Linked DNA regions of Oryctolagus cuniculus. The protein of the gene in region 2 interacts with the protein of the main gene of each other region in a biochemical or structural test. Links are inferred from orthologs where the notes say so. Each region holds a gene or a part of one and is shown on either strand. Other genes may lie near its edges.

Region 1 (6,473 bases), on a different chromosome or scaffold from region 2:
AACAAAATAAAGTAAAATAAAAGTAGCTATGAAGAATGACAGTTGCCTGCTGTGGATTAGGTGGAAAGGGGAGAGGGCGTCATGTCTCAATGCAGTAGAATGGGGAGGGGACATTGAGATAACTCCCTATTCTGAGGTGCAATCTGCTGCTCCCAGGTCCATATTTTGTGGATTGAACAATCTGATCTAGCGCACTCTCCAAGTGCCACGTTCCTGTCCATGGCTCCACTGGCTGCACACCTGAGATTCCTGTTCTGTCAGCTCCTCTTCCCTGTGTGTGAGTATGCTGTTCTTATAGGTTGAGATTGGCTCCTTCCCAAGCTGGAGGTGTATACGTGTCCGAACACTCACAGGAAATGCAGCATCCAGACCTTCTGGCCCCTGAGCCTCTCTTGGAGGCTAACGGCCCTACCTCTGGAGCTTCTAGAACCTTCCAGCCAGAGACAAGGGATGTGAAACTTGAGAGTATTGGGAAATCGCCAAGGGCCGTGGGGAGAGGAAAGACTCCAGGCCTGAAGCAATGATCCAGTTTCCCCTTTCATCACCTACCCTGGCCTGAGTGGCTGCCCTCAGGATCTGGCTTCTACGGGGAAGGGGCCATAGACTTTTTTGGTGTGCTCAGATTGACAGCCTCACTTGCTGTTCATGGGAGGGAAACCTATAGAGAAGAAGCTGCCAGAATCGAGAGACGGATCTGGGTTTGAATCCTGTCTCCAGGCTGGACAATTTATGTAACCTCTCAGCCCCAAGGTGGCCTGAGTGACCACCCAAGGTGGTCCGAAGGAGTGTGGGACAGGGGCTCTGGGCTCCCATAAGCTTCTGACAAGAGTTAGCTCTGCAACCTAATTGCCAGATGCGAGGAGCCAAGTTGCTTCAGCAATCTCAAACTCCGTTTTCTCATTTGTAAGACATTACAATCATTAATAATAATAATAATGTCAACAATTAGTAAGATAATCAGTGCAAAGTTCTTTGCACACGCATGACACATAGGAAGGACTCAATGCATTGCATGTCTTGCAAATTTTATCCTTCTCATCAATGTCAACTAGGTTTCTGAATGGCTGTGTCTATTTTCTCAATGAGCCCATGCATTGTCCAGCTTGGCCATGTTTATTGAACATATTGGCTCTACCTTTATTCCAACCTCTGCTTTTGCTGTTGTTGGTTTTTTTTTTCCTTCTCCTGGATGAGGATGAACATCGTTTAAAGAAAAACATTGCTTCTACTTTTAGAGTTGCTCTATAATGTTCCTTTCAACAGTGTGTTACGAGAGAGAAAGAGAGATTTGTTGATGAATGTCCCAAATGCCCTCCAATCTACTCCAGTCCCCAAGATCCTGCATAAATTCCAGGTAATTCTGGGAAGCTGTCTTTGGTTGGAAGAAATTTTTTTTCCTCTTTCTCTTTTCAAGAGCCCTTTTACCATTTGCTGCTACATGGGTGATTTCAGAGACCAAGTGACTCCTCTCCCCAGGGCAGAGCATGCCCAGTTACTCTTTGGCACAGGACCTGGGAAGGAGCGCTTGGCCTAGACCACCTGGATTGAAGTCCCCAGCACCCACTGAGGTGAGGCTATCACCAGCCCATGCACCATTGTCCAGGTGCCGGGCCTGGGACTAAATGTGTGCCTCACTTAAGCTCGCAACCGGCTAGGGAGGCAGGAGCATGACATGACAGTGGGCTCCTTACATTGTGTATAAGATGTAGAGTGTGTGTGGCCAAAGCTACCCTTGAAAAACCTTCAGGAAGGCACCATGCAGGGACTGTCATAGCATTGCTCAGTAAGGCAACAAAGCTTGATTCTTTCCCAAAGCACCAGCACTGGTGGCTATGTGTGTGTGTGTGAGAGAGAGAGTGAGTGTGTAGAACCGAGTGAAGTAGCTCTATTTTGTTCAGAGGCCACTGCTGCATTGCACAAATGCATTGCCTTTTAGACCCTGGCTTGGCTGTCTGACAACAAGTTGCTCCGTCTATAGAAATGCACAGTCTGAGACTGGTGAAGAAATTAGAAGATTCCTACTCCTGTCTCCAGGGAATGTGCTTTTTGATTGAAACACATGATGTCATCAACAGTGAATAAAACATGAGCTGTAAACACACAGTGGAATCCAAGGCACCAGCTGTAGCAATTGTCACTTCTAGCTTTCTGATTTTTTCATTTGAAGGTTCTCAAGTTAAATGCATCTATTTGTTATGTGTGTATAAGGCAATTCCTCTGCTTTCCTATTTTACATATAGGGAAACTGAGCTCCCCAGATTTTAAGTCCTTGCCTAAGGTTGCACAGCACAGAGAAGCTCCCATCAGAAGGGAACCCGGGTTGGCCCAGGGTAGCGCCTTGCTCAGCCTTGGATGCCTGACGCACTACAGACTCACCCTCTCATTTCAATGGTAGCAGGCAGAGACTGCTAGAGACTAGGGCTGAGAGAAGAGGGAAGAAGGGGCATCATGCATGCGTCCCCCCACACCACAGCTCCCTGTTGCTGGAAGTTGTCTATATTTTAGGTCAATTGTCAGATGAATAGATATTCATCTGCAAAGCCCCAGCAGAGCAAGAACGTGGTGTAGACCCATGGGGTGGGGCTGAAGGGACAGGAGTTTTAACAGCAAAATGCTTGGGCTGGCTTCGGAGTTTAAGCGCCCTTCATGGCCCCTCCTGCTGGGCAGGGGTGCCCAGGACCACGGGCGAGGTGGAGAATGACCTGCCCTGTCACTCTGTCTGCATCTCAAGCCCTCAGAGCTGGGCTTCCTTGTTTACTTATTTAGAAGCCAGCAGAGGAAGTGGTAAAGGAAACTAGCCAAGTCGTTTTCTGAGAAGAGACCATATTTGTTCGCAGAGGAAGCTGCTGCTTTCTGGGATCCGACTACAGCAGAAAAGACGTCTGCTCCAACAAGGCCGATCCAGGGGCAGCTGGGAGTTGGGAGAGCCAAGGACGCCTCCAAGATCTGGATTTGGGGTTCTCTGTCCATGGGTGCAGCATCCACGCTCAACCTGTGAGCCCCCTCCTAAGACAGCGGCCATGGCACTGAGGAACGTGCCCTTTCGCTCCGAAGTCCTCGCCTGGGACCCTGACAGCCTTGCTGACTACTTTAAGAAGGTGAGACCCACTCTTTTGTTGGTGGTCGGGCTGGGAGTGCCCTCCATGGGCTGGGCAGAAGACAAGAGGTGTAAAAGACAGCTGTGGAGTGACTGGCCTCTCGGCAGCCTTGTTGGGAGAGTGAGCGCCATGGGAGACCACTGAGAGCTCCTTGCAGTGAGTTCTGGAGAGGAGGGTGGGAGCAGGAGCTCTTGAATGAGTAGGTGCCTACCATGTGCCAGGGCCTGAACTCGGTACACTGCAGCACTGTGCCATTGATCCCTCTTGACAATCTTCTGAGGTCAATATTGTCATCCCTGTGGCTCAGCTTCAAGGTAGGCTCAAGGAAGCTAAACAGCCCAAAGCCACAGGGACTACAGGTGGTAGTGACAGAAGGATTGGAGTCACTTCTGTGCAGTTTCAGTCTGTGCTCTGAGATGAAGAGAACTACATTCTAGAAAGGGGAGACCTGGTGCTCTGGGTGCAGAACAACAGGCAGGGAAGGAGGCAGGGGTAGAGGGTGAACAACGCTAGACATGGCGTTTGGCCACTCACTGCTCAGGGCCCAGAAAGCTGGGTCCTCAAGTTCTTACATAGATCAGAGTCTCACTGCAGTGGAGCCGGGACCAGGGTTGCTGTCCTACCTTCCAGACTTGGAAGAGATGCTCAAAGATCGTCTGCTTGTCCACCTGCTGGTGGGGATGACAGGACACAAGCCTGCCCGAGCAAGTATGGATCCTCTGTTCCTGTCTCTAGCATAGGATGCCTTGCAGGGGACATTTGCTCTCTTTTTTAAGATTTATTTATTTGTTTGAAAGTCAGAGTTACACAGAGAAAGGAGAGGCAGAGAGAGAGGGAGAGAAAGAGCGAAAGAGGTCTTCCATCTGCTAGTTCACTCCCCAGTTGGCTGCAACGGCCGGAGCTATGCCAATCCAAAGCCAGAAGCCAGGAACTTCCTCCAGGTCTCCCATGTGGGTGCAGGGGCCCAAGGACTTGGGCCATCTTCTACTGCTGTCCCAGGCCATAGCAGAAAGCTGGATCGGAAGTGCAGCAGCCCATATGGGATGCCGGCGCTTCAGGCCAGGGCGTTAACCCACTGTACCACAGCACCAGCCGAAGGGACATTTGCTCTTCTAACATCCTCTTCCCTGCAGGCTGGCACCACATTTAGTTGATACTGCAGACCAGCATAAAGAAGAGCTTGTAGCACTAAGACTTTACATGTCATCTCACTTAACTGTTTTTCCTGGGGAAACTGAGCCCCGCGGGGGTGGAATAGGCTCTCTGGGACACATAGCTGAACCTGAGGTCTCATAGTACCAAGGTATTTGCAGTGATGATGGTTCTTCCCCAGCCTAAAAACAAAAACCTTGAACCAGGTGTGGCATGGTAGGGGCACAGCCCCACAGAGCCTGTCGTTTTCTGTTTCTTGTGCATTTCACTTCTGTTGTCCCCTCTGCCTCCACCCCACACATGTATAAAGTCATAACAAAACTAGGTTTTGGGTTTGTAGATGCAAAGATCATTGGACAACTGGCCCGACTGGCCTTTGAAGAGTGTTTCTAATACTTCTCTGAGATAGGGCGATCAAAGGTAAAATTTGCCCAGATGGAAGTATGTGGTACGTTATTGCAATAAAGAAGGGAGAAAGGAGTTGAGAGTTACAGAGGGAAAGGCCCAGGAGAGGCTGAGGGGCTATTTCAAATGTGGTCAGAAAAATTTCACAACTCAGCTGACCGACAGAGAGTCTGTAGACAAAGTTCCTGTCAGCGCAGGGCGATAGGACAGACTGGAGGGCAGGACACAGCTCTCTGTCTGAGTTCGGGGAAGAGATGATTCTCTTCTTGGAGTTCTAAGACCTTGCAAAAACTGCATAGCACTGGGCCAGGTTCCCCTCCCGGCACAAAAGGACCCAGGTAGGAACAAGGAGGCAGAGGGGAATCTGTGACCCTGGAAGTCCCAGGCCATCTCAGTCCCCAAGAGACAGAACCAGGAGCGCACTGACTGCAAGTTCATTTGGGGATGGATCTTAGTGATCAAGCATACCCATTTAACGCATCAGTGGGTAGGCGTTTGGTGGGTGCAGCTTCTACCCACGTGTCAGGGTCAGGCTTCCCTCAGTGATACCACGCTGCCCAACTCTGGAGTCAGACACACCTTGTTGGAACCCTGGCTCTGCCACCTGCTAGTTTGGTGGCCTTCCCTTAGCTACTTCGCCTCTCTGAGCAAGTCAGTCCTCAAGAGAGAAAACATTGCTCAACACAGGGTCATCTGGGGATGGATCTTGGAAATAAAATGTATCATTTCACGGGTTGATTGGTAGATGATTGGAAGGCAATTGGTAGGCACAAGTTCTACCAAAGCAGGCAATTAAACAGACATGAAGGGTAACAAACCCAGTGGAATGGTTGAGAGGAGTAAAGGAAATAGTGTATGTGAGGCATTCAGCAGACAGAGGTATCAAAATGTTTATTGCTCCCAGTTTCCTGCTGTGTTAACTGGCCACTCATTGGTATGTGGATCGCAGGGCTCTAAGTCTTTTTACCTCAGATGTGTTTCTCATCCTGTATCTGGGATTAAGACCTAGGCCGTGTTTGGTGATGGCTTAATCCCTCCAATTCTTATCAACACGGAGGGACAACACCCCTGGGCCCTGCCCTGGAGAGACACTAGCTCAGAGCGGTGTGCTTGAATCCCAGCTGTGTTCCCAACTTCCCACGTGTCCTTACGCGAGTCCCTTCCCCTCTCTGGGTCTCAGTCATTGAGCCACAAAGCCAAGCAACCTCCACACTAGTGCTTACCAAAGCCAGATGCTCATCAGAATTATCAGAGCGATCCAGGGCCCCTGTTACAAATACAGATTCTAGATCCCCTGGGCCCAGATCTTGCTGGATCAGGTCCCAGTCTTCAAGGCTGCCTGTCAAGCCAGAGTCAAAATCCCGTACCCTGCAAGATTGGAGACTCATCAGATAATGACAGTGAAAATGATGTGTTAGGGCCGGCGCCGTGGCTCAATAGGCTAATCCTCCACCTTGCGGTGCCGGCACACCGGGTTCTAGTCCCGGTCGGGGCGCCGGATTCTGTCCCAGTTGCCCCTCTTCCAGGCCAGCTCTCTGCTATGGCCAGGGAGTGCAGTGGAGGATGGCCCAGGTGCTTGGGCCCTGCACCCCATGGGAGACCAGGAAAAGCACCTGGATCCTGGCTCCTGCCATCGGATCAGCGCGGTGCGCCGGCTGCAGCGGCGGCCATTGGAGGGTGAACCAACGGCAAAGGAAGACCTTTCTCTCTGTCTCTCTCTCTCACTGTCCACTCTGCCTGTCAAAAAAAAAAAAAAAAAAAAAAAAAAAAAAGAAAATGATGTGTTAGAGGCAGTTGACTCTTCTAAGAAGTGCTCGC
Region 2 (6,018 bases):
TCGGCCGCGCCCCTTCCTGTCCCCGCCCTGCTGGCTGCGCCAGGCCAGTGCAGCGGCAGCCCCAGCCCCGGCACCGCACCGTGGGGTGGGTGGTGAGGCGGCCGGGCGCTTGGAGCCCAGTTTGAGCCTTAGCTCCAGAGTGCTCCGCCGGCCTGTGTGAGGCTGCCCTCCTTCCTTCCCTGCTGCCCCTTGCTTTCCGGAAGCCCCCAGGATGGTGAGGTAAGCGCTGGGAGCTGCGGTCAGAGGGTGGGAGATGGGGGTGCTCTGGGGCGGCCGAGGGACCTCTCCTCACCACCCTGCCCGGCCTTCCAGGTGGTTCCACCGGGACCTCAGTGGGCTGGACGCAGAGACCCTGCTCAAGGGCCGAGGCGTCCATGGCAGCTTCCTGGCTCGGCCCAGTCGCAAGAACCAGGGAGACTTCTCCCTGTCTGTCAGGTAGGTGGTCCCAGCGACGCTGCACTGGCCTAGGCCCCTGGAGCCCTCATTCCCTGCTCCCCTGGCCCCGTGCCTCTGCTGTGTCCTTGTCCCACCCCCACCCCGTCCCCCACACCTGCGCAGGCCCCCTCCCCATGGGTTCCCCGGGGGGCCAGACGCCTGGCCTCACGGCTGGTGCCCTGCAGGGTCGGGGACCAGGTGACCCACATTCGGATCCAGAACTCTGGGGATTTCTACGACCTGTATGGAGGGGAGAAGTTCGCCACGCTGACGGAGCTGGTGGAGTACTACACACAGCAGCAGGGCGTGCTGCAGGACCGTGACGGCACCATCATCCACCTCAAGTACCCGCTCAACTGCTCCGACCCCACTAGCGAGAGGTGAGGGCCCTGCAGCCGGCCCCTTTGGCCCGCCCCGGCTCAGGCCTCTGGGCTCCGCTTCTCCCTCTTATGCTGCAGCCTTGCCCTTCACCGGGGTCCTCCTGGTGGCAGGAAGCCGCCCCTCGTGGCGGCCGAGCCCATTGTTAGAAAGCTTCCCTTCTGTGGAACTGAATCTGCCTGCTTATGACCCGGGCCCCTACAGGCGAGCTGTGTGAGCTGGGCTCCGGGCAACCCAGTGAGAGGGGGTCTAGCCCATGGGGTCCCCACAGAGGTAATGGGAAGCAGGTGGTATGGGGTCCTGGAAGGACAGGGCCCTGCACTGTGCTCAAGGCCGACCCCCAGAACAGGGCTGGCTCCTCCCCAGAGCGTGAACCTCACCCAAGGGCCCCAGGGGCTCACCCTGGCCCTATCTCCAAGACAGAGCCTGCTGTGGGCTGCCTAGGGTTGTTTTTTTTTTTTTTTTTTTTTTTTTTTTCATCCTGACTCCTGTTGAAATGCTTCTGCACCTTGCCCCTGTCAGTTTTCAGTCCTTCTGAGATTCATGCCACCAAACCTGTGTCAGTATTTTGGCCCAAGTGACTGGTTCAAACCTAGCAGTGGACAGGGCCGGGGTGGACACGAAGCCCTGGAGAGTGGCTTCCTGGAGGGACGCCTCAGCAGGGCCGCCTGCTCCCTTGGCCTCTCCCTCCCCACCCACAGCTTGCCCCTGTGGTTCCTTCTGCCCCTTTCTCCTCACCTCAAGCCTGGATGGCCCTGCTGGAGGAGACCTTAGGGCTGCCGTGGGTTGTGGATGGCGCTGGAGAGGGGAGCTGAGCAGCCCCTGGGGAGAGGGCTGGGGGCCTGGGTTCACCGGGCGTGGGAGAAGCAGGAGGGGAGGGAAGGCAGTGCTGAGGTGGGGACCCTCTTGGGTCACCCAAGCTGAGAGGCCTGGGTCTCACCCCTGACCCCAGGAACCTGCGAGAGGCCCTGTCTGCAGGCTTCTGAAACCTCTGCCCCCTCTTTGGCCAAGGCCTCCTCTTCCGGCATTTGCATTTGTCCCCTGGATGGCTGTGTCCCTGTCTGTGGTCAGCCTCACATTTGCATGGAGACTTCCTCATCCTGGGGCCCAGGGAAGGGGGCTCGCCCCCTCCCCATTGCCTGGGGGCCCTGGGCTGCCCCTGGGTGGTGGTAGGGAGGGGTGGCTTGGGGGCTCATGGGCGGGGTGGGGGACTCTAGGGGGCCTCTGAGCTGGAGTCTTCCCCAGGGAGGGGGTGGGGGGAAGAGGGGACATGCTGGGGACAGGCCGGCCCCTCCCTCCTTCCCCCATCCCTGCGGTTGGAAAATGCCCCCCTTCCCCTGGTGCCGGCTGAGGAAACCTCACTTCTCACTCTCTCCCCAGAAGGAGTTGGTGTTTTTTCCATCACGTGGTTTCCTGTGGGGCTGGGCATCGCGGGGCTATGGTTTCCTCCTGGGAAGGGGGTATACTTCGGGGAAAGGTCTTAGTTCTGTTTTCTGCCCCCTTGCGTCCCTGTGAACCCCGACCTCCCTTTTGGTGACATCATGCTGAGCACCCAGAGCCCCCTAAACCACTGTGTCCCTAGTGGGGCTGTGTCCCCCGCTCCCTGCCCGGTCTCCCCCCTGAGTTCCCCCACTCAGTCTGCATGTCTTTGTCTCTGCTGCCTTTCCCTAGCCCAGACCCCTCCTCCGGAGACTCACCCCTGGTTTCTCCACGGAGCCCCAGTAGTGCCTGCCTCTCCTCTGTCTTGAGTTCTCAGATGGGCTCTGGGTCCAAAGCCTGGCTAGAACTCTTGAGGCTGCCTCTTACCAGTCAGAGGTCTTGGGCCGGTGTGCGGCTGCTCAGCCTCAGTTTCTGCACCTGTCAAGTGGGATCCCAGCACATTTCTGTGAGAGAGCAATGGATCTCAATCCTCAATGTGGTGGACTTGCAAGCATCCAGCTCAGTGCCTGGCACGTCGTGGGCAGTCTGTGAATGCCTCTGCCTGCCCGGGGCCTTTTCCCCGTGACCTGGGTCTCATCTGCCCTGATGCTGCTTCCCTCTAGATGGTACCACGGCCACATGTCTGGAGGGCAGGCAGAGACGCTGCTGCAGGCCAAGGGCGAGCCCTGGACGTTTCTGGTGCGTGAGAGTCTCAGCCAGCCTGGAGATTTTGTGCTGTCGGTGCTCAGCGACCAGCTCAAGAGTGGCCCTGGCTCCCCGCTCAGGGTCACCCACATCAAGGTCATGTGCGAGGTAGGCAGCTGGGCGGGGGCGGGGGGGGGGGGGGCTTGTGTGAGTTCCTGTCCGTGCCCGCAGCGTGGGCGGCGGGGCGGGTCTGCTGGGGCTCAGGTCCGAGGCTTCGGGTCCAGGGATGGCCTTGCTCGGCACCCTCAGGGTGGACGCTACACGGTGGGCGGTCCCGACACCTTTGACAGCCTCACGGACCTGGTGGAGCATTTCAAGAAGACGGGGATTGAGGAGGCCTCTGGTGCCTTCGTCTATCTGCGGCAGGTAAGCACATGGGCCCGGCTGCCTGCTGCCTGCCCCTGAGCCCTCGCGCCTGCGCATGAGCTTCTGAGACCTCCGAGTGGCTGACATATCGCCTTCCCTGACCCCAGCCATACTACGCCACGCGGGTGAACGCAGCCGACATTGAGAGCCGGGTCTTGGAGCTGAACAAGAAGAAGGAGTCGGAGGACTCGGCCAAAGCTGGCTTTTGGGAGGAGTTTGAGGTGCGCGCTGGGCCTCTGCAGGGCTGGGACGGCCGAGGCCTTCGGCGGCCAGCGTGTGGGGTCCCGGGTGGCCACCTTCCTGGCCCCAGGTCTTGTCTGCCCGTGGGTGCCCTCGTAGGGGGGCTGCTCAAGCTCCTCTCTCCCCTTGCAGAGCCTGCAGAAGCAGGAGGTAAAGAACTTGCACCAGCGGCTGGAAGGGCAGCGGCCAGAGAACAAGAGCAAGAACCGCTACAAGAACATTCTCCCTTGTGAGCACCCAGACAGCCCCGCCCCGCTGCGCAGGGTCTACACCCTCCCATTCCCTCCAGGAAGCCACCCCTGCCTCCAAAAGCCCCGACTCCTCCCAGTGGAACCCCCACCCCCACCCTGTGCCCGCAGCCAACAGGCAGTTGCCGCCTGCTCTCACCAAACTCCTCCTTCTCAATCCTCTACCCCACCGCCCCACACAGATCCCCTGCAGCCCACTGTGAGCCTCATGGCTTTTGAGACCAGAATGCCTGACCTGTTAGCGTAGGCAGGGTCTGACCAGGCCGCCTTGCTTCCCCTCTGCCCACTCCCAGTTGACCACAGCCGAGTGATCCTACAGGGCAGGGACAGTAACATCCCTGGGTCCGACTACATCAATGCCAACTATGTCAAGGTCAGTGTGGCAGGTCCCATGGGAAGCCCTGGGGACACAGAGACCCTCGGGTGGAAGAGGGTGGCCGTGGTCGAGGCCTGTCCCAGGCTGCTGAGAGGCTCATGGTCCTGGGGCTGTCTTCTCTGCTTGCATCCAGAACCAGCTGCTAGGCCCCGATGAGAACACTAAGACCTATATCGCCAGCCAGGGCTGCCTGGAGGCCACGGTCAATGACTTCTGGCAGATGGCCTGGCAGGAGAACACCCGTGTCATCGTCATGACCACCCGCGAGGTGGAGAAAGGCCGGGTAAGGCTGAGGCCCCATTGTTCACCACCGAAACAAAGAAACTGAAGATGCCAGGGCAGAAAGGGACCTTAGGGGGTGAGGGTTTAACCCCTGCTGGGAGGAGGGGTGGCAACGCTGTGACGCAGTAGGTTAACCCTCCGCCTGTGGTGCTGGCATCCTATATGGGTGCTGGTTCTAGTCCTGGCTGCTCCTCTTCTGATCCAGCTCTCTGCCATGGCCTGGGTAAGCAGTGGAAGATGGCCCACGCAGGTGCAGGGGCCCAAGGACTTGGGCCATCTTCTACTGCTTTCCCAGGCCATAGCAGAGAGCTGTATTGGAAGTAGAGCAGCCAGGACTAGAACTGGTACCCATATAGGCTGCCGGCACTGCAGGTGGGGCTCAGCTATGCCACAGCGCCAGCCCCAAGCCCCATGTTTTAAACTGTCCTTCCCCTTACCGTGTTTGGAAGCAAAGCTTACTGCTGCCCATTCCCCATGTGTCCCCCTGCAGGCCCCTCTTGTTCTGTCTCATAAATGGCTCTGGAGCCCACCCCTTACTCTCTGGGCTCGCCCTTCCATGGCACCTCCTGTCCTGCAGCCAAAGTGACCCTGCCCAAAGCACACAAACTTGACCCCATGGCTTCCTCTCTGGAAACCCTCTAGTGGCTCCCAGCTGCCCTCCACCTGAGTTTTCAGTGTAAGGCTGGCACCCGTGGCACCCACCATCTCCCGTGGGTCAGGCTCTTCAGGCTTCTGTGGCTTTGCCCAAACTCATTTTATTCTCTCCCCATACTGTCTCTGTCTTGTCTTTCTTTCTTTCTTTCTTTCTTTCTTTCTTTCTTTCTTTCTTTCTTTCTTTCTTTCTTTCTTTCTTTCTTTCTTTCTTTCTTTCTTATTTACTCATTAGGGTCGGTGCTGTGGCCTAGTGGGTAAAGCTGCCGCTTGAGGTGCCGGCATCCCATGTGGGGGCCGGTTTGAGTCTGGCTGCTCCACTTCTAGTCTGGCTCTCTGCTATGGCCTGGGAGAGCAGTAGAGGATGGCCTGAGTCCTTGGGCTCCTACACCCACGTGGGAGACATGGAGGAAGCTCTTGGCTCCTGGCTTTGGGTCAGTGTAGCTCTGGCCGTTGTGGCCAATTGAGGAGTGAACCAGCAGATGGAAGACTCTCTCTCTCTGCCTCTCCTTCTCTCTCTGTATAGCTCTGACTTTCAAATGAATAAATAAATCTATTTTTTCTTTAAAAAAAAAAAAAGGTTTACTTATTTATTTTTTGAAAGGCAGGGTTACAGAGAGGCAGAGGCAGAGAGAGAGAGGTCCTCCATCTGCTGGCTCACTGCACAGATGGCCGTAATGGCTGGAGTTGGGTTGATCCAAAGTCAGGAGCCAGGAACCCCCTCTGGGACCCCAAGCGGGTGCAGGGGCCCAAGGACTTGGGCCATCCTCTACTGCTCTCCCAGGCCATAGCAGAGAGCTGGATCAGAAGTGGAGCAGCCTAGACTTGAACTGGCGCCCACAGGGATGCTGGCACTGCGGGTGGTGGCTCTACCCACTGTGTCACAGTGCCAGGCCCTCTGCCTCATTTTTGAAGACC

Evidence for each region.
Region 1: the proteins of PTPN6 (region 2) and LCP2 form a complex in vitro, tested with the Homo sapiens proteins (2 studies listed by BioGRID). The link is inferred for Oryctolagus cuniculus from reciprocal best matches to the Homo sapiens genes PTPN6 and LCP2.

Annotation. Positions count from the first base shown.
Region 1 is NC_091437.1:57,183,546-57,190,018, reverse strand, and holds the start of LCP2 (lymphocyte cytosolic protein 2), read left to right. Parts: upstream 1-2,807; 5' UTR 2,808-3,020; coding exon 3,021-3,098; intron 3,099-6,473. UniProt on the Homo sapiens protein: Adapter protein primarily involved in signaling pathways within T-cells, as well as other immune cells such as platelets, mast cells, and natural killer (NK) cells.
Region 2 is NC_091440.1:102,585,824-102,591,841, reverse strand, and holds part of PTPN6 (tyrosine-protein phosphatase non-receptor type 6), read left to right. Parts: intron 1-41; exon of another isoform or gene 42-211; coding exon of another isoform or gene 212-219; intron 220-312; coding exon 313-435; intron 436-620; coding exon 621-815; intron 816-2,855; coding exon 2,856-3,045; intron 3,046-3,186; coding exon 3,187-3,303; intron 3,304-3,410; coding exon 3,411-3,524; intron 3,525-3,675; coding exon 3,676-3,772; intron 3,773-4,084; coding exon 4,085-4,164; intron 4,165-4,300; coding exon 4,301-4,450; intron 4,451-6,018. UniProt on the Homo sapiens protein: Tyrosine phosphatase enzyme that plays important roles in controlling immune signaling pathways and fundamental physiological processes such as hematopoiesis.